7 linked regions of the Daphnia pulex genome follow. The main gene of each other region encodes a partner of the protein of the gene in region 2 in a complex. Links are inferred from orthologs where the notes say so. Each region holds a gene or a part of one and is shown on either strand. Other genes may lie near its edges.

Evidence for each region.
Region 1: THO complex subunit 4-like (region 2) and chromatin target of PRMT1 protein-like share a complex: the UniProt entries of both Homo sapiens proteins name them as parts of the transcription/export (TREX) complex. The link is inferred for Daphnia pulex from reciprocal best matches to the Homo sapiens genes ALYREF and CHTOP.
Region 3: THO complex subunit 4-like (region 2) and THO complex subunit 7 homolog share a complex: the UniProt entries of both Homo sapiens proteins name them as parts of the transcription/export (TREX) complex. The link is inferred for Daphnia pulex from reciprocal best matches to the Homo sapiens genes ALYREF and THOC7.
Region 4: THO complex subunit 4-like (region 2) and SAP domain-containing ribonucleoprotein-like share a complex: the UniProt entries of both Homo sapiens proteins name them as parts of the transcription/export (TREX) complex. The link is inferred for Daphnia pulex from reciprocal best matches to the Homo sapiens genes ALYREF and SARNP.
Region 5: THO complex subunit 4-like (region 2) and eukaryotic initiation factor 4A-III share a complex: the UniProt entries of both Homo sapiens proteins name them as parts of the ALYREF/THOC4-EJC-RNA complex. The link is inferred for Daphnia pulex from reciprocal best matches to the Homo sapiens genes ALYREF and EIF4A3.
Region 6: THO complex subunit 4-like (region 2) and THO complex subunit 3-like share a complex: the UniProt entries of both Homo sapiens proteins name them as parts of the transcription/export (TREX) complex. The link is inferred for Daphnia pulex from reciprocal best matches to the Homo sapiens genes ALYREF and THOC3.
Region 7: THO complex subunit 4-like (region 2) and THO complex subunit 6 homolog share a complex: the UniProt entries of both Homo sapiens proteins name them as parts of the transcription/export (TREX) complex. The link is inferred for Daphnia pulex from reciprocal best matches to the Homo sapiens genes ALYREF and THOC6.

What each region holds. Positions count from the first base shown.
Region 1 is NC_060027.1:3,847,523-3,851,154, forward strand, and holds chromatin target of PRMT1 protein-like, read right to left. Parts: upstream 2,242-3,632; 5' UTR 2,086-2,241; coding exon 2,030-2,085; intron 1,862-2,029; coding exon 1,693-1,861; intron 1,631-1,692; coding exon 956-1,630; 3' UTR 501-955; downstream 1-500. Other genes in the region: protein timeless-like, read left to right, coding at 19-374; tRNA selenocysteine 1-associated protein 1-like, read right to left, coding at 2,534-2,991, 3,054-3,218, 3,286-3,436, 3,503-3,632. UniProt on the Homo sapiens protein: Plays an important role in the ligand-dependent activation of estrogen receptor target genes. May play a role in the silencing of fetal globin genes.
Region 2 is NC_060025.1:2,695,818-2,698,947, forward strand, and holds THO complex subunit 4-like, read right to left. Parts: upstream 1,988-3,130; 5' UTR 1,780-1,987; coding exon 1,594-1,779; intron 1,433-1,593; coding exon 1,277-1,432; intron 1,218-1,276; coding exon 1,104-1,217; intron 1,040-1,103; coding exon 734-1,039; 3' UTR 501-733; downstream 1-500. Other genes in the region: uncharacterized protein LOC124203100, read left to right, coding at 1-120, 187-356; ribonuclease Z, mitochondrial-like, read left to right, coding at 2,265-2,545, 2,601-2,787, 2,856-3,081. UniProt on the Homo sapiens protein: Functions as an mRNA export adapter; component of the transcription/export (TREX) complex which is thought to couple mRNA transcription, processing and nuclear export, and specifically associates with spliced mRNA and not with unspliced pre-mRNA.
Region 3 is NC_060023.1:12,053,787-12,056,598, reverse strand, and holds THO complex subunit 7 homolog, read left to right. Parts: upstream 1-1,266; 5' UTR 1,267-1,413; coding exon 1,414-1,423; intron 1,424-1,484; coding exon 1,485-1,605; intron 1,606-1,671; coding exon 1,672-2,098; 3' UTR 2,099-2,312; downstream 2,313-2,812. Other genes in the region: ataxin-7-like protein 1, read right to left, coding at 1-88; transketolase-like, read right to left, coding at 2,333-2,812. UniProt on the Homo sapiens protein: Component of the THO subcomplex of the TREX complex which is thought to couple mRNA transcription, processing and nuclear export, and which specifically associates with spliced mRNA and not with unspliced pre-mRNA.
Region 4 is NC_060024.1:915,590-918,836, reverse strand, and holds SAP domain-containing ribonucleoprotein-like, read left to right. Parts: upstream 1-1,294; 5' UTR 1,295-1,431; coding exon 1,432-1,452; intron 1,453-1,604; coding exon 1,605-1,698; intron 1,699-1,770; coding exon 1,771-1,838; intron 1,839-1,896; coding exon 1,897-2,006; intron 2,007-2,073; coding exon 2,074-2,398; intron 2,399-2,459; coding exon 2,460-2,639; 3' UTR 2,640-2,747; downstream 2,748-3,247. UniProt on the Homo sapiens protein: Binds both single-stranded and double-stranded DNA with higher affinity for the single-stranded form. Specifically binds to scaffold/matrix attachment region DNA. Also binds single-stranded RNA. Enhances RNA unwinding activity of DDX39A.
Region 5 is NC_060018.1:3,384,302-3,388,205, forward strand, and holds eukaryotic initiation factor 4A-III, read right to left. Parts: upstream 2,501-3,904; 5' UTR 2,371-2,500; coding exon 2,223-2,370; intron 2,116-2,222; coding exon 1,913-2,115; intron 1,858-1,912; coding exon 1,725-1,857; intron 1,661-1,724; coding exon 1,527-1,660; intron 1,472-1,526; coding exon 1,383-1,471; intron 1,326-1,382; coding exon 1,187-1,325; intron 1,124-1,186; coding exon 1,008-1,123; intron 945-1,007; coding exon 709-944; intron 643-708; coding exon 626-642; 3' UTR 501-625; downstream 1-500. Other genes in the region: ATP synthase mitochondrial F1 complex assembly factor 2-like, read right to left, coding at 1-121; 39S ribosomal protein L35, mitochondrial-like, read left to right, coding at 2,758-2,981, 3,037-3,144, 3,196-3,424; uncharacterized protein LOC124188409, read right to left, coding at 3,635-3,904. UniProt on the Homo sapiens protein: ATP-dependent RNA helicase. Involved in pre-mRNA splicing as component of the spliceosome. Core component of the splicing-dependent multiprotein exon junction complex (EJC) deposited at splice junctions on mRNAs.
Region 6 is NC_060028.1:7,657,440-7,660,943, forward strand, and holds THO complex subunit 3-like, read right to left. Parts: upstream 2,377-3,504; 5' UTR 1,923-2,376; coding exon 1,743-1,922; intron 1,676-1,742; coding exon 1,519-1,675; intron 1,459-1,518; coding exon 1,254-1,458; intron 1,188-1,253; coding exon 1,026-1,187; intron 950-1,025; coding exon 697-949; 3' UTR 501-696; downstream 1-500. UniProt on the Homo sapiens protein: Component of the THO subcomplex of the TREX complex which is thought to couple mRNA transcription, processing and nuclear export, and which specifically associates with spliced mRNA and not with unspliced pre-mRNA.
Region 7 is NC_060027.1:616,707-620,563, reverse strand, and holds THO complex subunit 6 homolog, read right to left. Parts: upstream 2,435-3,857; 5' UTR 2,059-2,434; coding exon 1,952-2,058; intron 1,884-1,951; coding exon 1,650-1,883; intron 1,580-1,649; coding exon 1,418-1,579; intron 1,351-1,417; coding exon 1,188-1,350; intron 1,117-1,187; coding exon 962-1,116; intron 897-961; coding exon 809-896; intron 748-808; coding exon 661-747; 3' UTR 501-660; downstream 1-500. Other genes in the region: ubiquitin-conjugating enzyme E2 G1-like, read right to left, coding at 182-227; SEC14-like protein 2, read left to right, coding at 3,497-3,544. UniProt on the Homo sapiens protein: Component of the THO subcomplex of the TREX complex which is thought to couple mRNA transcription, processing and nuclear export, and which specifically associates with spliced mRNA and not with unspliced pre-mRNA.

The sequences.
Region 1 (3,632 bases), on a different chromosome or scaffold from region 2:
ATGTATCGATAAATATAGGATTTCAGAAACAACTCGATTGGATTCAGTCGTCTTTATTGACGGCCTGTGCAGCACGTTTGGGCATTTACTCCGACCACGAATTCCGTCATCCAATTACCTGTTTGAGCTTGAAATTGAATACGCCATGCCCGATAGTCCCTTGGACGGAAGCGGAAGCCTCCGCATTGAGTTCGAAACCCTTTCGCTTTTTTCTGCGTCAACTGGGTCTTTTCCCTTCGCTTCCTAACGCTGGCACCTATCCAAGGATCCCACTCGAATGGTCACCAGACACTCTGTACAATGTTGCTCTTTCGTTGGGTTCCGTTGCCCATCAGCAAGTTGATTTCGACTTGAGTTGTGTAGGAAAATTGTAGCTTATCCATTTAATTTAGCTTCGATCGGTCCCGCTTGATTACTGCTGGCCAATCATTAGAGTAATTTGTTGTAATTTTGTCTATGATCAGCGACGATTAAATGAAGGAACAAAAATCAAATTAGTGTTGAGGTTAATCATTTGTATTTTTTGGGATGAGTTTCTCTTTCTCGTTTCACAGGCACACCTTTTCACACTCAAGTCCTCGGATGAAATATGAATGAATTATAAAAAGATACATGTGCTAAGTGCGCCGTAACAGGAGGGAAAAGCAAGAAACACACGGCAAAAAGGGACTCCAAAAACTGGGGGAAAGTACAAGAACCATTTAATCAAGTGCTAGAATGAAATCAAGACAAGGTTGTCCAAAATCTCTTTTTTCTGTCTAGACTCTTCACAACAGTCCAACCATTTTCTCAAAGACAAATTCTGAATTGGATTCACTTTTAACTTTAAGGACTAAAACATTGTTAATAGTCAATCAAGACTTGGCGAAGGGGAGTTATTAGTAAGAAGGTTCTTTCGTTTGAAGTTGGGGAGCAGCACAGGTGAGGTAACGACTGGAGAAAGATTATTGCATATTTAATTCATTTCAACGTCCCCAATTTTAGACATGTAGGATTCAATATCATTGTCTAGAGCGCTACGAGTCTTTTGCATGTACTGATCCAATTGCTTGTCCAAATCTTCTTTGCTGACCTTGGTAGAGCCACCTCGACCACGCCCTCGACCACGTCCGGATGTCTGACCGCGCGGAGATGTCGGCAAGCTGCTTCCTCCACGACTGGGTCCCTTACCACCACGTTGGCCTCGTCCTCTTCCTCTTCCACGCTGGATACGACTTTCAGCTTGCCCGGTAATCAATGAAGATGTCATCTGCCCTCGACCACCTCGTCTTCCTCTCACGCTGCCTCTAGCACGCGAAGGTTTGGTCGGCGAACGATTGGTTGTGGCAGCAACGGGGGCTGGCTTTTTCGATGGAGAAATGATTCTTCCGCGAGTGCTTCTCTTGTTTCCTTGTCCACCGCCACGAACGATTGTTTGGCTGACAATGGGCTTCAGTCCGCCCCGGCCTCGAATTATCTTTGTTGGGGTGACCGTTTGCCCTTGCGTTCGACTTCCTCGCAGAGATCCTCGCGACTGACTCCCGCGACCAGCTCCACGATTGGTTGTGAGTCTCCTTTGAGTTTGGGTGGCCGTTCCGCGAAATCGAGTACTGGTGTTTACTGTGGCTCCAAGGCGTTGTTTGATGCTTTTCTGAATAACAGTATAAATGATGTAAGTATATCTGGTTATGAATTAAAAACGAGGAATTGCACCTTTTTCAGTTTCAAAGCAGCACTGACTGATGCATTTCGTCTTTCCATCTGTTGAGCTAGTCTGCTATTCTTGCTTGATGCCTTTTGAAGATTAGCTGCATTATTTCTAGCCCCTTGCAGTTTTCCAGCCAATTTCTGACCCCCTGCTGAGCTTCGTAATTTGGAGAATCTGTAACGAAAAATTTTCATGCGTTAAAAATCAGCAAATGAGAAGAAAATCAACACATACTTTATAAAAGCAAGGAAATTCAATGTTTAACAGGGGGAAAATTGCGGCAAACAACTATTTCAATCGCATATACGACATAACAAACCCAAATTGCCTAATGATTTATACCTTTCATGTAAGGATAAGGAAGTTGAATTATTTGGTACTCTGCCTCCTGAAGCCATTTTGTGCTAGAATACTGCTGAACCAAAGTTCAATTACGGTCAAGAAAATGCCGAAAACAGATAATTTCGAGCTATCTAGAAATGTTTCTCGTGAAGTCAATGAAAACAATTGCTGATGTTTGCCCGGCTGTGAACTAATGACGCTCAACTTTTTTCGACTGCTATTGGGTAGTAAAGTGACACCTAGCGGAAAAAAGAAAGTATGTCGTGATTTACGATTGAGTAAGAGTGCATGTTTTAAAAAATGTGGGTGGAGGAAATGTTTTATGGGTGTAGAATCATGTCAATAATTAAATATACTAGATAATACAGAAAGTGAAAGAATTGGAAATCTGTATTTATTTGAAATCAATGTATTCATTCTGTAAAACAAAATCAGATGACAAGCAGAAATGAATCTTTGTTTTTTTATCGTATGAGATGGTCAATAGTGTTTTATAAAAAGAAATTAGGCGGCCACTACTGTAGGAGTACTGCTTCCGTTTTCCTCAGCTTTAACTGCCGGAACGGCTTTCTCTGGATTGAATGTTGTCCAGCGAGCTTCATCTAGTGCATCCCACAAATCCTGATTGCGCTCAAAAAGTTCTCTGTTCAGTTTCTCAATATCGACGGGTGTATTGTGTTCTATGAGCTCAAACTCATCTTCTTCAGGTTGAGCAGGCATTTGCCCAGCAACGCCATATCCGGCATAAGCTTGTTGACCATCATAGCCGTATCCGCCTTGGTAACCATATCCTTGCCAGCCACCGTACTGTTGCCAATAGGCTGGATCGACGTACTGTCCGTAGCCAGCTGCTGCAGCAGCAGCTTGAGGTTGAACTGGCTGGCCGCTGGCTGCGGCCTGGACAATTGACGAAGCAATCGATGCAGTTAACGTAGAAGTAGAAGATGTACTGGATGAGGATCCTAAAAGTTAAAAGAGTATGAAATGAAATGTACTCCAAAGAAAAGTTTAAGCGTGCATTTACCAGGTATCATGTTGTAATTACGAGGAATAGCCAATGAAACTCTAAGTGGGTTGCTGCCGAGTCCTCTGTGACCTTGCATATGTGTCAGCGCATCTTTGTAATCACTTTCATTAGAAAAATTAACAAACGCATAGCCGCGACTTTCTCCATTGCTGCCTCTGACCACTAAACATAAAATACGAGAAGTTCAGATAATTGCCAATAAAATCATTACAGAAATTTTACAAATTACCCTTTGCCAATTGAACTGAGTTATATTTTGCAGAAAAACATTTGTAAAGGCCATAGTCATCTACATCAGCACTCAAATCTCCCACCCACAGTGCATGATCGGCTGTAGAACCTTTAGTGTTTGTGCTGTGATTTAACTTGAAACGGCTTGGCTAAAAGTGGGAAAACAGATAATATAACTAATATAAATTATGGTAAATTAAAAGTTAATACACTACCGGCTGACTGTATGGAATGATTTTGCCATTCAATTTGTGTAGAACTTCCATTGCTTGCTTTTCATCTCGAAACTGACAAAATCCAAAACCAGCAGGTAATCCAGTGTGCTTATTTCTCATGACTTTGATG
Region 2 (3,130 bases):
CAGACCAGCACGAGTCCAATTTGTCCCAGGGTCAGACATCTAATGAAATTACAACAGTGGAAGAAGTCAACGCCGAAATGAACCTCATACTTCACCCCCGAGCCGGAATTCTACTCCACAGTAATACCTGATTAAATTAAATATAGTTATGAATTAATAGTAACAAAACATTTGTAACGAAAACAGGTTTCCAATTCTCTAAACCAACCAAGTTTAACAGCGAAGCCGCAGCCTTCGCTCAACCATCACGAATTCCTTACCGTGGAAGTTCAATTCCAATCATCGACAGCATCAACGAGGCTGCAGTAGCTCAGCAACTACGTCAAGCAATCCGCCGTACACTTCGCAGCTCATAATAAGCACTTCACAATCTTTATAAACATGACTTTGTTAAAAAAAAAATTTGTAGTTTTTCCAATACACTCAATTTGATACAATTGGACGTTACTAGATCTTTTGGCTTCTACACATCTCGGGAATCACAAATAAAAAAACAATGGTTTTTCGCTGAAAGCTTCATTTTTTTTTGTCTTAAAACCAGGTCTGACAGGTTTGTCTTTCAAAACACTGAATTTGTATGAAAAGAACGAAAGAAAAAACATTATTGAAAAAGTGGTGGTGGTGAGGAGAATAAGTAAAGGTGATCAGGAGTTTGCGTCAGTGATTCAACCTCTGATCCACCACGTGTGGACTCAAAGAAATCAAATAATTTGGTGAACATTACACGATTGCGTTATTTCAATTCACTCCTGTATGACTCCAACTCGGCATCAAGCTCATCTGCTGTCGGTGCAGGCTGTTTGGGATTGCGTTGGCGAGCACCACCAGCACCACCTCGCTGACCACGCTGGCCTCCTCCTCCTCCTCCTCTCTGGCCTCTGTTGGAAGCTGGTGCACCAGTCCTCTTTTGTTGCGGCCCGTTGTTAGTGTTAGCTCGAGGGCTGGTTAGTCGGTTGGCGATTGTGTTCAAATCGGAAGTAGCCATCTGAATGACCATTGATCGACCATCCAATGGGACTCCGTTGTACTGTTTCATTGCCTATGGAAAAGAAACAAATATTGATGCTGTGTGTCCTACAGTTGACAAGTTTCATGAAGTTTACCTTGACGGCATCAAGACGGCGCTCAAACACAACATCAGCTGTACCGAGAGATCTGCCTGATCTGTCATAATGCACAGAAGCATGTTTCAATGGTCCAAATTCCATAAAAAGTTCCTATAAATAGAATTATTCAATACATGTTCATCATGACAGAGAAGCAATATATGTTATACCTTAATGTCTGCATCTGACACACCAAAGTCTAAGTTAGAAACAACAAGCTTGGAAGAGCCGCCTCCAGCAGCATTCGGTGCAGCACCCAACCTGGGATTGCTTTTCCTTGGTCCACCTTCATACATGTCATGAGACCAGTCACCATCTGGGTTGCCCTAAAAATAACATACACAAAGAGTCAGCACTATTGCATCACGAAGACTGTAAGATACAGACTAGCTTGGATTTGAAATAGACGAACAAGTCAACCAAGGATTATGCAATACTTTCTGATAGAACATAAAAAAACAAGAAGAATAACTTAACAAATATTTACCTTGGCGTAAGGTGCAGCACGACCCCCAGCATTTCCCTGTCTTTGATTACGAACGGGTCCTGAGCCGGCATTACGGTTGCCTCCACGAGAACTGCCACCACGACCGCCGCGTCCTCCACGGCCCCGGCCGGCTGAACGGCTAGTTTTGATGATATCATCCAAGCTCATGTCAACTTTGTCGCCCATTTTGATAACAATAAGTTTGTGGAGGACTTGACAAAATTAAGGACTATCAATTTAAAAACGAAACACAAGTTTAAGAAAGATTCAATAAGAACGAAACAAATGGATGATGGTGACAGGGACGGTACGACAATGACGCCACGCTCAATCTCTATGCCAAGTTAACGAATATGAGCCTAAGCAAACTCTCAATGGCGCCCATATTGCCCGTTTGCCAGTTTCAAAAACAAGAAACATAAATAATTTAATACTCCTTTTATTCTAAGTGATTTATTTTTCAAATAATAAATTTAAATTTATTTGATTCAATTTTACAAATAAAAAACAGTTTAGTTTCAAATTAAGTTTTTAACCGACGTGGTTGCCAAGCCCGGTGTTTTGATTCTGCTTTTCAACCCTCTAGATGACAACACGTGTTTAAAGTTAAAAGTTAGTGCCTGTAAATTTTAATTAGGCCCCATAATATCCCGATTATCAAGAAATATCTAATGAATTTGCGATTTGCATTGTTAAATGTTGTAGTTGTTACTGTACGTAGTTTTCATTCTAATCAAAAGGTATTCGGCGATATAAAAAATAAAAATCGTGTGTTAAATTTACTCGCCAACATGCCGAAAGATACGAGTCATGTCGCACGTCTTCAATCAGAAAGACAGGCAAAGAAGATTACTAAAACAAAATACCCACCAGGAACCGTAACATTACAAGTTCTGGGTTCTGGTGTCCGTGGTGCACCACGGTCCCTCTATATGTTCACCGATCAATCATGGTAACATTTTAAATTAAAGCAAAAGTATTTTAGTCTAATTCCTGTTTGCTTTTAGTTATCTCTTCAATTCCGGAGAAGGATCTCAACGCTTGGCCCATGAGCACAAGTTTAAGCTGTCCAAAGTTGAGAACATTTTCTTCACCCGTACATCTTGGCAAAATGTGGGTGGATTACCTGGAATTTCATTAACAATTCAAGATGTTGGTGTTCCCAATATCACACTCCATGGACCACCTGGATTGGTAAACAAATAACATCTAAGCACACATTTTAATGCAGATCCAATAATATCATAATCTAATTTTAATAGGGTGAATTATTTACTGCTGCCTCCAGATTCATCATATTAAAGAATTTACAAGTCAATCATGTGGATGCTACTTCACCTGCATCATCTTATGAAGATGCTGCCATGAAATTAAATTATGTAACTATTATGCCCAATGATGATGCAAAATTACCACGTTCAGCTTCTAGTTCTCCTATCGAAGAGGAGGATGTGACCAATTATTATTGTCGAGAAAAAGGAAATCCTGGTGAGTTATCAGTGGTTACAAATTATTAGAATCGAAATGTAAACAAAAT
Region 3 (2,812 bases), on a different chromosome or scaffold from region 2:
TTAATGGACTATCTCTGCCTAATCTATCAGCCCAAACAGACCAAGGCTGGCCATGAAGACTTGTTGGACTGTCATCGTTGGACGCCATCTTTGTTAACAGAAAATTTTTTCTTAATTTCTCCTCTCCGAGACTCCGTCTTCTTTCCTCACCTGCAACAGCGTTGCAACTATAGTGAAAGCAGCTCGGCAGCTACCACTGCCCTTGATGCCTTGCCTCCTCTAATTACTCTATGGCATTAACACCCATTGGACTATTTCAAAATTACCTTTAATATAGTACTTGTATATTTTTCCTAGAATTAAAAAATGCGTTGCGTTTCTTTGCCACTTGAAGACCTTAATGTGTAAGCGTACTAAAGTTGTTGATTCTATTCGTTGGCAATTTATGAAATTTTATGATGATTTAATGATGAAATTATCTTCTAGCGAAACGTTCTAGCAATAATTTAAATCCTCAATCGTCCGTCTATTTTTTTTTTAATTTTGGCAAAAGATTTTATGCATTGCGGAACTCAAAAAGTACATTTTTCTTTGCGCTAAGTATCTTTTTACAATTTTCACACATGGACTGCAACAAGTATGACTATGAGAACAAGCTGCACATAATCATAATGACATCAACTGATAAACACATATGTGAAAATTCCCCATTGAGGTACCAAATCTCTCTCAACTCAGTTATTTTATATTACCAACCAATCAACCATCTGACATCTTGACAAATACAACCATTAATTGACATGCACCTTTTATACTTACAAATAAATGTTGTTTGTAAGTATCTTGCACCCAAAATTATTTTTTCACTGTCAGTTACACACCTGTTTAAAATGAATCTGTCAATCTTGATCACCAATCTCAATTTTCAGGACAATAAAAACAGGTTTTCCTAGAATGTAAGGCAACAGTTTAATTAAAAAGAAGAGATTGACGTTAATCTGGAAACGAGAAAAACAACACTCCAGATCCAGCATTTCATTGGATTCTTTCCTTGACATCACCTGATTGATTCTAAACCGTTCAATGGTTTCCCAAGTATATTGCTGATCTGCTGGACTAGCTCTCTTTCGGTTTTGCTAATGTTTATACAGGCATGCAAGTTTAACCCTAAACAAAATAGATACCTAATCAATCGGATGATTTTTTAAAAAGCCATGTCTCCTTCCTTTCATTTGAGGGGCGTGTCGTCTGCTGGCGGATTTAAAAAACAAAACAAAAGACGAGCGAACTACGCTTACGGCAGACGAAAATATTTTTTCATTTTTCAGTACTTTCCGGCGTTTCCGCAGCGACATTTCTCCTAGGTTTGTCATCTCATTCTTTCGCCCGGTTTGACATCTCAATATTCTCAAAGCTTTACCAGTTAAATTGTATTATTATTGGTCTTATTTTGATCCCAATCATTATTCACAAATGGGAGATGGTAATTTGACTTGTTAGTAATATTATTTCGGTTAATTTTCATCTTGTACTTCGTTATGTAGAAGAGATCATCCGAAGGAGGCTGTTGTTTGATGGCGAAGGAACTGGTGATGAAAGAAGACTTAATGTATTGCTTAAAGGTTTCCTAGCTTGGTGCAACTCTACAGATAGTGTTGAAGAAACGTAAATTAATCTTTGTATAAAATTCTTCTATACTCTATATGTGATGTATTTTTATTTGTTTTACAGACAAGCATCCTACGCTAGAATGATTGGTCAGATTGCCCAATGTGAATTTGCTGCCACAAAATCCTTGAGGTGCTGTGAAATGAACACTGCAGAACAGCAGCACTATGACGACCTCTACAACCAGATTGAAGAAGGAATTGTGTCAGCTAAAAAAGACATTGAAGCAACCAAGAAGGAGTTGCAAGAAGCAAGACAGATTCGCAGGAATAAAATGGAATATGATGCTTTGGCTGCCATTATTCAAACACAGCCTGATCGAAAGAGCAACCAAGAGAAATTATCCCTATTGCGACAGGAACTGGAAGCTTCAGAATGTGAATGTCAAAAACTGGAGGCCAAATTAGAACAAAGACGCAAACAATTTCACTTACTCATTTCAACTATCCAAGGATTACAGCAACTTCTTAACGATGATGAAGCATCCTAATAATTGTTCATTTTGTATGCATCCCTTTTTTCTATTTTTGAATAATAATGCTAACAAATAAAAATCATTTGAAACACCAAAAAAGCTATGTATGAATAAACTATCCAAACGGTACATATACGACTTGGAATGCCATAGAAGAATGTTTCAAAAAACACCACCAATTCTTCTCAACTATCCATAGACCTCTGGTAAGGAATGGGTATAGGAATGAGTGACTTAAAAAAAGGGCGTTTACAACGCAACAAGTTTTTTCGCGGCTTCGGCAATAGCCTTGGCGCCGATTCCAAAATGTTCTAGGAGAACCTCTGGAGGACCGGAGCGGGGAACTTCGCGAACTGCCAAAATCTTGACGATAATATTTCGTTGTTCGGCTAGAGTTGAAGCAACAGCCTCACCCAATCCACCTTCTGGGTAATGGTCTTCAACGGTCAAAACCCGGCCGTTGCAACGAGTGGCTTCCTTCAACAGCAAATCGTGATCAATGGGTTTGATGGTAAATGGATCGATGACAGCAGCCTTGATGCCGGCTTCCATCAGCATGTCGGACGCCTTCAGCGCTTCGTGGAGTGTAACGCCGGCGCCAACGATAACCAAATCGTCTTGATCGTGACTACGAACAACGTGACCCTTTCCAGCAGAGAAAACTTGTTCGTTCTCGTAGATGACGGCTGTGTTGGGGCGAGATGTACGAATGAAGCAAATTCCTTTGGT
Region 4 (3,247 bases), on a different chromosome or scaffold from region 2:
AGAAATAGGCCGCCACGCGCGCCTCTCTGATTTGATATATTCGTGTATGTATTTTCAAGTGCTTGTATACCAATCGCTTACAAGTTGATGAATGATGATCGCTGTAGTGTTGCGTGTAACGTGTATTTATCGGGGAAAAAACAAAAACAATTCCCGATAAGCTAAAAAGAGAAAATTTGACGCCATTTCAGAATGGGCTTAAAAATTGGGTCCCAAGAATAGTGAAAAAACATAAGAAAATCATTGGGCATCACTGTATATCCTTTATTACAACAGTATCCCGGGACCAGACAAATCGACTACCGTCGTGCCGTTTAACCCCCCCCCCCCAATCCCTTATTGGAAACGTGTAAAACCATAATTGTCCTCAGCAGTAAATGATATATATAGTTAAGTTGTGCGTGCCTTGAAAAAAGAAAAACAGAAATCGATTGCCTCGCACAAGTTGGATATTGCCACAGCAATTGGTGTTCTCCTTTTACCCACCTTTTACTCCTTGCCGGAATATAGCCACGTTTCTGCGAATTGGTTGTTTGTTTTTGTTTTTTTGTTTTTTTTTGTTAAAAAAGAAAGAAAAAGACGCGAAAAGACCATTGTTTTTTTCTTCCTTTGAGATGTGTCGCTCGCTACGTAAACATTGCCTACTGTCCGAAGCTGAGCGTCGTCGTGAAAGTGCTTTTTGCGCGCACGTATTTTCATGTCAAAGCGAAATACACGGCTTGAGCATTTGTCTCATTCATTATATAACTATTGCAGCTTGAACTGTTTGCTTGTCTTAAAACACGTTACTTTTTGTCACTTTCTTGTTCTTTGAGCGGGAAAAGAATCAAAAATTCAAAATTCACTACGATGTTACGATGAAATTTAAAATCATTGATTTACAATACACACACTAGTTAGTTAAGCCAATCAGTTTTACTTGGTTTATCACAAGATATTTTATGAAGTTTTTATCAAGCTCTTTAAATTAAAAAAAAAAAATTACTTTGACAATGAGTTTGATCATTTGCGATTACAGAAATAACGTAGTTGCAATGTTTTATGCGTAGCCTTTTTGTCCGAGAAACCCATCGCTTAAAATTAATTTCTCACTATTTTTTTTCAAAATCCTACCAGAGTTATCCTACGTGGCTGATTACTTTTTCGAGGGTTTTCTTTCTCATTGTTGGCTAGTAACACACTAACATGGCAACATGACTCGGACAAACTTTTTGCATTGACGATAGGTGACACTACTTTAGTACAGGATGCGCCCGATAGAGATCACTAGTTTAGAAGCCAGCAAAAGCATACGCAATTTCTCCTCTGAAACAATACACTGGCATTCAAAAGTCGAATTACTTTCAAGTTACCGCGTTGCGCGTTCCAATTGTAATTCATTGAAAGTTTGAGACGCCGGTACAGACAAACGTCATCATTATCATCACAATCATGGACATCTCTAAATTAAAAGTAACCCGCTTAACTTTATATTTGAGTGAAACTTGTCAATATTTCCAACTTAGAATCCTGATTGAGTTTGTCAAATCAAATGTCTATTATGTTTTTGAACTAGTGATAGGCCTACTGTGTGCATTTCATCTTGACTGTTGTTTTCATGCTAGGTTGTGGACCTTAAAAAAGAGTTAAAAACACGAGGCCTCAGCACCATTGGCACTAAAAATGAATTGATGGAAAGACTGCAAGATGCTGTGCAAGGTAAACTTTTATCATTTTGATTATTAAACTGTTTCCATGTTTATGTTCAAGCTTTTTTCCGTGGATGTTAAGATGACGATACTGGAGATAATGGCGCCTTAGACAATGATGACCTTTTGGATGAGGAGGCAGTTTTAGCAGTAAGAACATTGGTTTTATACAATGTGATAAACTTATGCAATTTTATTTTTGGTATAGGATGAAGAAGCTATTTTAGAGGAAGGAAATGCAAATTTGATCGCCCAAGAAGATGATGCAGTTCTTTTAACACCTACTGCATTGAGTGCCCCCAAAGTTACAGTTGAAAAGTTAGTTACTCTGTTTGTTTGGAAAATAATTGCCTCAAGATTAATGATGAAATGAATAATATTTCAGGACTGTTCAGGACTCGAAGAATGAAATAGTTTCTCCCCATAAAAAAATCATCTTGAACAGAAAGGTGGTAACTCCTCCATCAGATTCTGGCACAGTTTCACAGGAAAATGACGACCACCTTAAATATGATGCCAATAAAGGTGATGAATCTGACTCAAAGGAAGAAAAGAAGGTGATTAAACTTGGTTCCTTATCTGCCGAAGAAAGAGCCAAACTAAGAGCACAGAAATTTGGTGTTCCTATTCCCGATTCTGTGAAGAAAGCTGTTCGAGCAGAAAGATTTGGCGGTACAAATAGCACAGAATCAAACACATCAAAACCTCAGGTATTTTCGATTGATCAGCTCATCGTTCTTCGTGTTTTCATGTAGTGAATTTTTATTTAAGGTTCCTGATAATGACAAACTTCTGAAAAGGCAAGCTCGCTTTGGCGTCGTTTCTAATTCTAATTCCGAAGTTGATGAGAAGAAACAGAAGCGAGCAGAGAGATTCGGAACTACGAGCACTGCGGTCGGCAGTTCTGACGAACAGAAGCGCAAACGTGCTGAACGTTTCGGACTTGCCTGAAATGTTCGTTTTAAAGTTTATTAATTGACGTACAGTTAAATGAAACAAAGACTTGGTTCGATCACAAAATTTTTAGTTTTTTAAAATTAAATGTGACCTGATTTCTTATCCCGATAAAAAAAAAAATACTAATTTGGTGTATACTTGAAACACATTTTCTCATGGGTCCGAGTTAGGTTGGTCGGCGGAGTTGTTTTGTTTCTAGTTTGTAATTGAAATAACCTGATATGTTGGTGCGCAATTTCACTTGATTTTATAAAGAAAAGAGCAGCATGAAACAAAGAGATGAAATTTAGTGAGGGAGTTCTAGGCTAGTGGCAAGTCGAAGGGAGTAGCGGTTTAGGTTAATGTAGAAAATTCAAGTTGGAAGGGAAATAATCGTGCAAAGGTAATAAGCAACCCGCCACTAATAAAGTGTGGGTTCAAAACCCTCACTATGTAGTGTAGGACGCTTTTTTAGAAATCTGGAAAGAGACAGCATGGTCCTATACCATGAGGGACAGGAACAGTAAGTAAGTCCCCTGTACTACAAAAGCATATTACAACTCAAATGCTGCAATAATAGGCTATAATATTTTTTTCTCTACGCGATTTTACTAGATATTCGG
Region 5 (3,904 bases), on a different chromosome or scaffold from region 2:
CGTTTCCAGCTCCTATTTGATTATTACCAAGTATTCTCAATAAATTAGAAGTGCCGGAGCCAAAACGTATTAAATTATTAGTTGAAAAAGACATTGTTGACGAGGTGACAAATGATTTCATCACCCACCAACAAGCAACAACCGGGTGCTTCGAACTGTAGCAGACCAAAACTGTTTTCAAACAGAAAAAAGGAAATGTGGGGTACTGGGTTTCAGCAACCAAGTTTTCAGCTAGTTTCTAGCTTTTGTTCAGCTACTAGAGATACAACAAATCTAACTTTGTAATTGGAATTTGGAACGTCCTTCAAATACTGGTTTCGAATTGTCGCAAGTATTTTCAAAGTGAGTAAAAAAAATCAACATGCCTTATTATAAATACTGTGTCATAACTCATAAGTCAATAAGTCATAACTCATGAGCAAAAGGTTCATATATTACTTCAGATCTACGAGTAAAGTAGACGTCATTTTTAGACTCCAACAATGGAACAAGACAATTAATTAAACGGCCACAAGTTTCATATATTTAGTCCAAATCTTCGGGGATACAGAAAAAAAAAATCCAGCAAAATAAAAACATGACGCATCAACTTCTTTGTTTTCCTTTTTCCGAAATGGATTATAGATTAAATGAGGTCAGCCACTGAAATTGATTAAAAACAAACACATTTAGAAAGAGTTAAAAAAAAACATGCTAAAAATATTTTACCATTCATGGGCATTTCGTCAACCTGTGTAGCATAGTACTGTTCGATATCGCGGAGAATACGGATATCGTCATTCTTGACAAAGTTAATTGCAACACCTTTACGTCCGAATCGGCCAGAACGACCGATACGATGGATGTACAACTCACGGTTGTTAGGGAGATCGTAGTTAATGACCAACGAAACTTGTTGAACATCAATACCACGAGCCCAAACGTCAGTTGTAATAAGAACTCGGCTAGAATAAACGAATAATTGTTATTACTCTGAATGGTTATATGGTAGACGAAAATTTCAATACCTCTGACCATTACGGAATTCTTTCATAATAGTATCACGCTCTTTTTGAGGCATGTCTCCGTGCATTGAAGAAACGGTAAAATTCGCTTCACGCATTTTCTCCGTCAACCAGTCAACCTAAAATCAATCTAACTGTGTTACATCGAAATCAACAATAGAAGAGATTTAATCGTGACTAACCTTGCGTTTAGTATTACAAAAAATAACCGCCTGCGTGATTGTCAGTGTGTCGTACAGATCGCACAACGTGTCAAACTTCCATTCTTCTCTTTCGACAGCGACAAAGAACTGTTTGATTCCTTCGAGTGTCAACTCATCACTAAACCACATAAAATAATTAGTAATAAAAAACAAGCAGACTTTTAACAACGTTTACCGTTTGACTAAAATGCGAATGGGATCTGTCATGAATTTGCTGGTCATCTCCAAGATTTCATGAGGCAATGTGGCTGAAAGAAGAACCACCTTGAATAAAAGATTGATTTAATTGGTTTTTCTTATGAAATATCATAAAACATACTTGGGTTGCTGGAGGAAGGTAACGGTAGACATCGTAAATTTGCTCCTTGAACCCTTTATTTAACATTTCATCGGCTTCATCCAGGACCAACATTTTAATTGAACGTGTCCTTAGTGTACGTCGGCGAATCATATCTGTAGAGTTATCAAGACACTTATCATCAATCCAAACTTAACAAACAGAAATAGCAAAATATACCAAATACACGTCCAGGGGTTCCAGAAACAATGTGCTGACCGTAGTCCAATTTTCGAACATCCTCTCCAACATTAGTGCCGCCGATACACGCATGGCATTGAACATTCATGTAATCACCAAGAGCCAGAATAACCTAAACACAAGCTAAATGAAAACACTGTACTACAGAAAGTAATGCCATAACATACTTTCTGAATTTGAACTGCCAACTCTCGAGTGGGGCTTAGAACCAATATTTGAGTTTCTCTTGTTTGAATTTCAAGACTCTGAAGAATTGAAATTGAAAATGTGGCTGTTTTGCCAGTACCGGATTGGGCTTGGGCAATAACGTCTCTCCCCTTGATTACTGGGGCAATTGCTCTCTGCTGAATAGCTGATGGTTTTTCAAATCCTATAGAAACATTTAAAGCCAACCTCAACATTAAAAATCATGTAGGTTAAGGATAATGTGAATAATGGAGCAAGGTCTCAACAAGTGAAAGTCTCATTTGTACGTACCATAAGCGTAAATTCCTCTTAGCAGGTCTTCACGGAGGCCCATGCTGTCAAATGTGGGAATAACATTGACATCTTCACTCGTTTCAAATTCAATATTAGTTAAATCATCCGGCATCTGTTGGACAACACGTCTGCCTTTAGACTCCATTTTTTTAGAAATCAGAAGTGTGAAAAAGCACGATAGTTCGTGAATAATTAGTTTGCGTCCGTTCGGCAAGGGTGAAAGGATGCTATAGAATGAATGTTACAGACGTTAAAATCGCTTCAACATGGAGTCAACTGTGTTGCCAAATTTTCATACTCATGGTTTCAAAGCAAAAATTTACAACTTAAAAGTAATGATTCATGATCCACTAAAATTTGAAACTAATTTAATTTTTAATTTAATAAAAATCAATGAAAGTTGCTAAAAACCTTTTAAAGACCTGGCCTTTGTAATTTGTATATCGATATCGTGCATGAAAAGATTCAATTAAGCAGACGAACGAACACTGAAAATAATTTTCTCCCGATTCAAGAAAAATAAAAATCTAAAATGTTTACTTTGAAAAACGTTATTCAATCGGCTTTTCGATTGGCGAATTATTCACCAATTTCTAAAAATGTCGTTTCAGTCAAAGCAAAAATTTTGCTGCCTAGCACATCAAGGTTTTTTTCGGGTTCGTCAGAATCAACTTTTCGGTGTGTCCAATACCCTTCCATGAATGCTACCCCAAGTATATTATCATCTATTTCCCCATTGCTTCAAAATCTGTCATTGTAAGCAAGAATTTAAATTTTATTAAGCACACAAATTAAGCTTACTTTCTTGCAGAACTACTCCCTCTTTGCAGCAAACCCGATCAGTTACAAAATGGTCACTCAAAAAAGGGAAGCGCAAAACAGTTAAAGCTGTTGTTTCTAGGTTCTATCGTTTAGGATGGTAATATATTTTATTCATTCCTGGTTATTTATATTCATTATGTTTTCTTAGGGGTGCATGGATAAGGCCAATGGTGGGACACAGTAAACGTCACTGGAGCAAAACAGCAAAAAGGAAGATTCGGGGTGAAAAGCATGTATTTTGTAATGCTACCCAGTCAACTCTTCTTGACAAAATGGTAACGAAATACTGGAGAAAGAGACGGTTTTACGTTGATGACATGTACGAGTCGTATCATCAGCGAGAAGAGTATCCATCAAGTGCTGTTAAACCTCATTGAGGTCTATAATTAATACTAGTTCAAATACATTCAAATAATGGAAAAGGAAATTTATTGTATTTATTTCATTCCAATGTTAAAAAATATTGGTTGTACAAATATCTTAACCATATTTAACTTGAACTGAAATGTATTACTGAAGTGTTATCTTTGAGTACATGAACAGAAGAAATTTGAAAAACTGTTACATAATATCAGGGGGTGGGGGATTTAAAAGTCCCATTCCTGAGTCCTTTTAACACTTTTTCGCTGAGATGGAGCGTTCCAGTTTTGAGGGGTTTGATGCTGAGATGGAGCGTTCCAGTTTTGAGGGGTTTGATGCTGAGATGGAGCGTTCCAGTTTTGAGGCGTTTGATGCTGAGATGGAGCGTTCCAGTTTTGAGGGGCTTGATACTGAGATGGAGCGTTCCAGGTTTGAGGGGTTTGAGGGGTTTGGTGTCGAAATGGAGTCGAGGTAAGATTACGCTTAGGCGAAGGAAA
Region 6 (3,504 bases), on a different chromosome or scaffold from region 2:
CACGAGAAGCATTCCGAGTATTTCACGTTCTAGCTGCGGAGAACAATGAACATGAATCTACTCGAGCAAAACGATACATTCGTCTATGTGCCGCTTTGCTGCCTATATATGGGTGTGTGTGTTTAGTGTTTACCAACTACCGTTACGAAATATCAAACGACATTTTAGCCTTGTACATAATCAACGGCACGTATGATGTAACACAAACTATCAATCTATCTGTTTCTACGAAATATGCTTATTATCACGACAACTTAAATTAATTTGCCTTTAGTAATAGAATAAGGATAGGAATAAGTCTTACCTAGATGGACTGCTTGCATAAAAGCGTCGTATTTCTTTAAACGTTAACGCCCTGTTTTTTTCATTATTGACTAAAAATTTGTGCCGAACGGTCATCACCTTTTAACAAATATGGGATCTAGTAATAACGAAAATTATTATTGAGTAATTAATTATGTTTGAACGTTAAAAAAAAGGGAAAATGTGTCCTGGAACAATTCAGTTTTCTGGAAAAGATCTCTGATCTGAGATCCATTTTACTTGTATCTCTCTCAACACAGTTGAAGTTTGTAAGCTTGGCAAATAGTTCTTGACAAGAGTAAACAAGAAAATCTGCAAGTGAAAAAATAAAAAAAAAAAAGCTGGATTCTGTATAAAACACGAGACCTCCTAGTTTTGATTCGTATGGGCCCATCACTCGTTAGAGAGACCAAAGAGCTTCACAGTTCCGGCGTCTCTGTTTCCGTCGTCTTTATCGTCACAGGCGTAGGCCAGCAGGTGAGAGCGTGGATGCCAGGCGACTGTGAAGGTTGGCGTGTCAACTGGAATGCTGATAACGCGCTCGCCTGTACCTACGTGGCTGACGTCGATCAGCAAGTCCTCTGACCCGGACGCCAACATGGACCCATCGTGACTGAAACTCAATGTCCGAACTGGCCAATCCAACCTAAAGGGGAAACACCCAGTCAGTAATTGAATAACCTCAATAGAAAACGGCACGTTATTATTGGCATTAATGTTACTTGGAGAAAGTGCGCAAACAAGCAATTTCATCGGCATCCCACAGAGAGACTAGGGCGTCGGCCGACCCAGTGGCAAAGTACCGTCCAGTGGGGTCGAATTCGATGCAAATGCAGTTGGCGGGGTGAGCCTGTGTGACGTGAACGGTCGTAAGCTCTGGGTAACTAGATACAAGAGAATTGATAGCGTCATGCTAGATTGAAAGCAGGGGGAAGAAAATTCATCATTACTCTAATATGTGGATGCAGCCTTGCCCACTAGTCAAAAAGAAAAGATTGCTAGCCTTGTTCCATTCTATTTCGTTGACTTCAAACTTGAACGGATGTTCTATTTTAATCTTAAAATTCCTGGCATCAATAAAAGTAACAAGGTCTTCCTTATTTCCCACTGCAATGGAATTTCCATCAGGTGACCACGTGATGTTGATATTTTCTCCTGTCAAATCACATTAATGAAGGATTGAATGTTTAAGCATAATTTCGTAATTAATTGTACCCTTGGTGTTTACTGTGGCGACACTCTTTTTAACTCTTGCATCCCAAACTCTCATGGTTTTGTCTCCACTGGCGGTGCTGAGCAAATCAGGATTGGTTTCGTGCCAACATAGCTGATCGACACTGTCATTGTGTCCCACAAACGTTTGCTCCTTAACCTGAAACAGAATGCCTCAAGCTCCATTATAATTGCTGCATGATTGATAAGCCGGGACTAATACTAACCAGTCTGTCGCTTTCCATAGTAAAAATGCACACCGTCTTGTCAAAGGAACCCGACGCTAACCGTCTTCCATCGCAATTCCAATCAACCGTGTGAACCTTGGCCGAATGTGCAGAGACTTCCCTCGTTCGAGTGTGCGTTTTAAAATGATTTTTCAGCTCTTCCAATTCGGCGACTGCCATCTTCTTATAATTTCGGGAAAAAAAAGCGGTTTATATACCTTTACTCGCGTGTCAACAAAACACAGTGTGTGCAGACGAACTAACGCGAAGCCGGTCGTCCCGCCATTTCCAATGCCAAGTCTCTTCTTCATCCGCCAGATGGCAGTTGGAGCGCGAAATTTGAAATTCCTAACTCACTAATAAAAGAAAAAAGGGGTCGGGCAAGGAATGCGTGGTGGTAATGTCGTCTCCTCAATTGGCTCTGATTAGTCGGACGTTAAACGATACGTTTATCGACTGGCTGGCCCAAAATAACAAAAATAAAATAAAAAAGGCGTAGGGTGGGCGGATAGGTGGAAATGCTTTTGTTACCAAACACGGGACACACACCGTAATCAAGCGTGACTAGTACACACACACACACACACAATGAACTCAACAAGCGAAGGGCGTCCAGCCTCTATCAGACGAGATCTAGCTGCATGAATATTATACTCTCTCTCCCAAGTCCCAGCTACACATATAAACTATAGCTGTGGAGCTTGCGCCATTTTGAATGTTATTACACGTCCGATAAATATATATATATCTACACGGCAATAATATGCGCCAAAGCCAAAAGAACCGAGTCCAAATCAACTGGGATGGGCAGCAGCAGCAGCAGCTATGCCCGTTTCTTCAAAAACTACGACTATATAGATTTCAGTTTTCTTATATTTTGTTCTTTTTTTCTTTCTTTCACAGCGCGCAATCATCAAATGATCCGTGTTTGGGCATCGGGGTAATATAAAGCAACAAAAAGTCGTAGTCTCTCTCTGCCAGTGCATGCTGGACCCACAGCGCCGGCACACAGCACATAAGACATCTACAACAACTACAACCAGAACGGCTTCTATATAACGCTAACGACTAACGAGTTAGCATCGACTTTACAAGAATTTACAGCTGTATAGTCGATGGAAGAAGAGAGCGGGGGTAGTAAGGAGAAAAAAAAGGGAAATTTACGAGTCCCCCTCTTCTTCTTCTTCTAGGAGAGAAAAGAAAAAGAAGACGGCCATAAAATAAGCAAATTTCTTGCCCGTTAACTGACGATAAAAGCGACTGGGCGTCCAAGCGCGCCTTGTGGCCTGGCCTGGCCTGGGCTGCTGCTGATGCTCCTACTGGACCTCCTTTTTCTTTGGCTGCTCTCTCCATCATTACACACACCAAAAGAACTTCTTCTTCTTCTTCTTCTATTTTGATAGCCAATCGGTCCCGTGTGTGCGTAATAACATATCGCAGTCGTAAATCTGCGAACGTCTCGTTTCGTTTTGCCCAAAAAGATTCTTTTTCTCTCTCTTTCCCTGGACCTTTTGGCTGGTCACTGGACTCGTCTCGTTGGCCTATACCCAAAGAGTAGTAAAATAAAAATATATAAGAAATAAAGGAAAAAAAAGGGTTTTTTTTCCTTCTATTTTATTTAAAACTCTTCCTTCTCCCCTTCAAATGAAAACGTCTATAGGGTAATACGATTCCGATGATACGCTTTTTTGTTGCTGGTGTGCCTCGACACTTTATGGAGATTGGACCCGCTGGCCCGTTATATATATCCCGGTGATTTACA
Region 7 (3,857 bases), on a different chromosome or scaffold from region 2:
AAATAAACGAATGTTAAAACAACACTTAAACTCGATAAAAAATTTCAAGTCAAGCATATAACAAACAAGAAAGCCGTCAGCCAACGCCATTGAATGAGTGAAACTGGTGAAACAAATAAAAAGTACAGCGACTCGCACGCTCTTCATCTTACATAACCTGTTCCAAGAACAACTGAATTACCTGCTAGCTGTTTTTTAAGAAGTAATGCTGACTGCAATTCGGACATAATGAAATCAAAACGTAAATTTGTTGAGAGGAACTTGAGAAGTCTTCTCTCAAGTTGAGAAGTCTTTCCAAGCACGTTGCTTGCTTCGTCCTAGCCTTTGACGTTGCCAAATCTCCTTCCTTCCTCTAGAGCTCGCGCGTTGTTGGCCAATCAATTTAATCACGGCCAGGTCACGGACCAATCTCCGTCAATGCCGTCAATGCATGTTTTATAAATTTTAATTTTTTTTAAATTGCACTCCTAAAATAAACATTGATTCAATAAACCCAGAAATAAATTATCACGATGTATTTTCTTGTGAACATTACTCGATATAAAACATCACAATTTGACATTATTAATCTAAAGACATGGCAGATGTCTTTGTTTTTTTTTGTATAATAATTGATGGAAGGGCAAGCGAGATGAAAATGTTCAAATGACGATACATAATTCATGAAAGACAACGAATCACTTGATCTTGTAGTTTAGAACTGGTGCAAATGTCAATGTCTCCACCGGATCCGCCGACGAATAGCAACTAATATAACAATCCAAAGATTATATTTGTTTTTCATTTCATTATCATAATATTTTTTTACTTTATTTGCATCCTTTTTCTGGAGGCAAATACTGTAGACTCTAAGGGGACTTGTAGGCATTTTGACGGTAATATCTCCCGAAAATAAGCTAAAAATAATTGACCCAGCTCACACATTAGTGTCAAGGGGGAAATTTAAATTTTTAAAAATTACCATTGGTATACAAACGGTCCATCTACGCCGACGATTATATTGTCTTCGTGAAACATAACGTTGTTAACACCATGGACGTCTTCTTCGAGTAATACTCTACTCATTGTCAAAGATCGTAAATGATAAAGTCCTAAGTGCGGGCCTCCTCCACACACCTATGATATGCGACAAATAACAACTGTAGTGATTTCTCATCGATTAGATTACTTCCTTAAACAAGACTTACCAACCAATCTTCATTCATAGCAACAGCACCAACCCATTTTCCCAGATGGGGTCGATTCAGTTTAGACTCCAAATGTGGTGTAATTACGTGATTAGGTTTTGATTTTCGAGTATCCCAGATGCATACTGTTCCGTCTTCACTTGCACTTGATAGCTGATTCCCACTATCACACAATAAAAAGTAATTAATGTTTTTATGCAATAACTTGAATTGTAACTACATCTACATACACCAGGGACATTGAGTGAATGAAATCAGTATGACCAGAGAAGGTTTGTTTAACTTTCCCATATTCAAGATCTACATGATGAATATTGTTGTCTCCACAAGCAACAAAAGTTGAGTTTTCACCGTTAATCATGCAATCTACAGTTTCTTTAGTGCCAAAGTCACTATAAAATTACATAAAACCAACAGTTAATTATGATAAATGTAATAATCAGAATATTCTAATATGGTTACGTTGGCAAGCGAAGATCAACTTTCCAGCAAGGTTTCACCTTCTCATCACTATTCTGTGGAAGCACCAATTGATTCCAGCTAAATGCCTCAATACAGTTCTTGCCTCCAACGAGTAAGTTATCATTTAAAGATGTTATAGCTTGCAAAGGTTTGGTACTGACAGAAAAGCATTTCTGTGGTAATGTGAGGCTTTCACGTGGACCCTGTTCATCTTCGGCATACAAACTTTTGATACTAGGAAGAGATACATGTTAATAAAATTTTTTTTTTCAGTAATATTATTTTAAGAATAAATTCAATACTTAAATATGTTGACATTCCCAAAATTGGTTCCAGCAGCTAGAAATTCCTCACAAGGAGATAGGGCTTGAGAGAGGACAGTCACGTAAAACGATTTTATGTTAGGCATATTTTCGCACTTTAATCACTGCTTTAACAGTTTAGTTATTCGTGAAGTCGGAGAATTTGTAACTCAGTAAATTTAACTTTTAATTTGAAAATCAAAACAAGAATATACACCGGCAAAGTTTGATTTTTGTGGCGCTCTGGGTCTCCATGCGGAAGCGTCTGCTACGATATCTACTAATTTGCGGAAATCCGAGAAAGGTTTTTCAGTTTCAGCCATTACCCGGGAAATTCAACTGAGAAATAAGCCAAAAACAAATAGAAATGTGAACTACGACTTGGTTTCATTGGTTCGATGAAGATCTAAACCGATTTAAAGCGCTGTTGAATGATGTTTCAAAAATTTTAACTGTAGTTATTTAATGTGGTCAACTTCAGATTTGAAAAGACCAAAATAATAAGATCAAGGACACTCTCAGATATAATGAATATCATCAATGAGTTGTCATACACTGAACGCAACTTACTTATTCCCATTATTCCCTACACGTCACTTCCCTTGGGCCTTGAATCGAAACCGATATCCCTTCAGCTTTTTGTAGTTTAATCTTATTTGCTTAGATTAACTAGATCTGATTTCCCATGAAATCAGCTATTGGAATCAGACATGATACCGTATCTAGACTTGTGTGAAAACACTCCCCCAAATTTGTTATAGACTTGCCTTTTTGATTATTTTCGAGATGTTGACTTTGACACAGAACAACCAGACCAATTTTAAAAAAGTGAAATGTTTCAAATAAAAAAATATATAATAAAATGTGATAGCCAAGATACGTGTTTTGGTCACACCTGAGACGTAGCGGCGCAGCAGTGTGTTAAGTTTTCTTCAGGAAAACCTTGACTGCAGTTTATATCCCCCCGCGGATCGCATAATTTACGAGTTTATAAACTTGTGGAGTGATTACTGAATAACCTGTAATAATTCAGGCCGCCGTGAATACATAAGGCTGTTATTAACGGGATAAGCCGCCGGGAGCAAAATACAGCGCTAGGGCAACAGCACGTAGTGCATTCAGTAAACATCAGAGGGCCTGCAAGAAGAAATACCAGGAAAGGAAACCTGCTTTCCTCTCTGATAATAATATTGCTAGAATCCAAAAAATCTAATGGCCTTAGCCTACATTCGTTCGCTTGCCTTCTTGATGTGTGAACCACCCAACAGATCGGTCGCATCGCACTGCTATTCTCGTTCAGACTGGGCACTTATAAAGCGAAATCACAGTGGAACAACACGAACTGACGTAGTGGAACTATTAGGTCGAGTTAAAACCCAACAAACAGCCAACACCATGTTTTGACAATTGAAAGTGTCAAAACGATCAAAAAGTTTAACTCTTAACTCGAAAAGTTCCAGTTGAGCCGCGCAATCTAACATACGGATCTCGGGACTTTCTTTCTTTCTACTATTCCGAGAGGAAAATTTCTCTTTTCTCTCGGTCATGGACCTTACACAACTAAGCCCAGAGAAACGAAACTTATTCGACCAGGTATTTAAAATCGTCTTTTTTAATTGTAATAATAGACGAAGGTTAAATTTTCGCCAGTATTGAAATTTCGCCACGCTGAACGCGGATAGTGTATTAATCAAAGATAGAATGAGGTAACAATGTGAGTGGCAGAGAAAGCTGTGGCAAGCTTTTTAAATTCCAACCTGTTATGCTTTTTTTTTGTTTTAAACCCAGCGGGTTTTCGGAGCAAAAGGGCGAAGAAAACTTACAGTGCTTTATACACGTAGAAATCTGGGCCGTTATAAAAATGTTTCAATCTTTTATTAATTCCGTTTTTTTTTTCTCACCAACA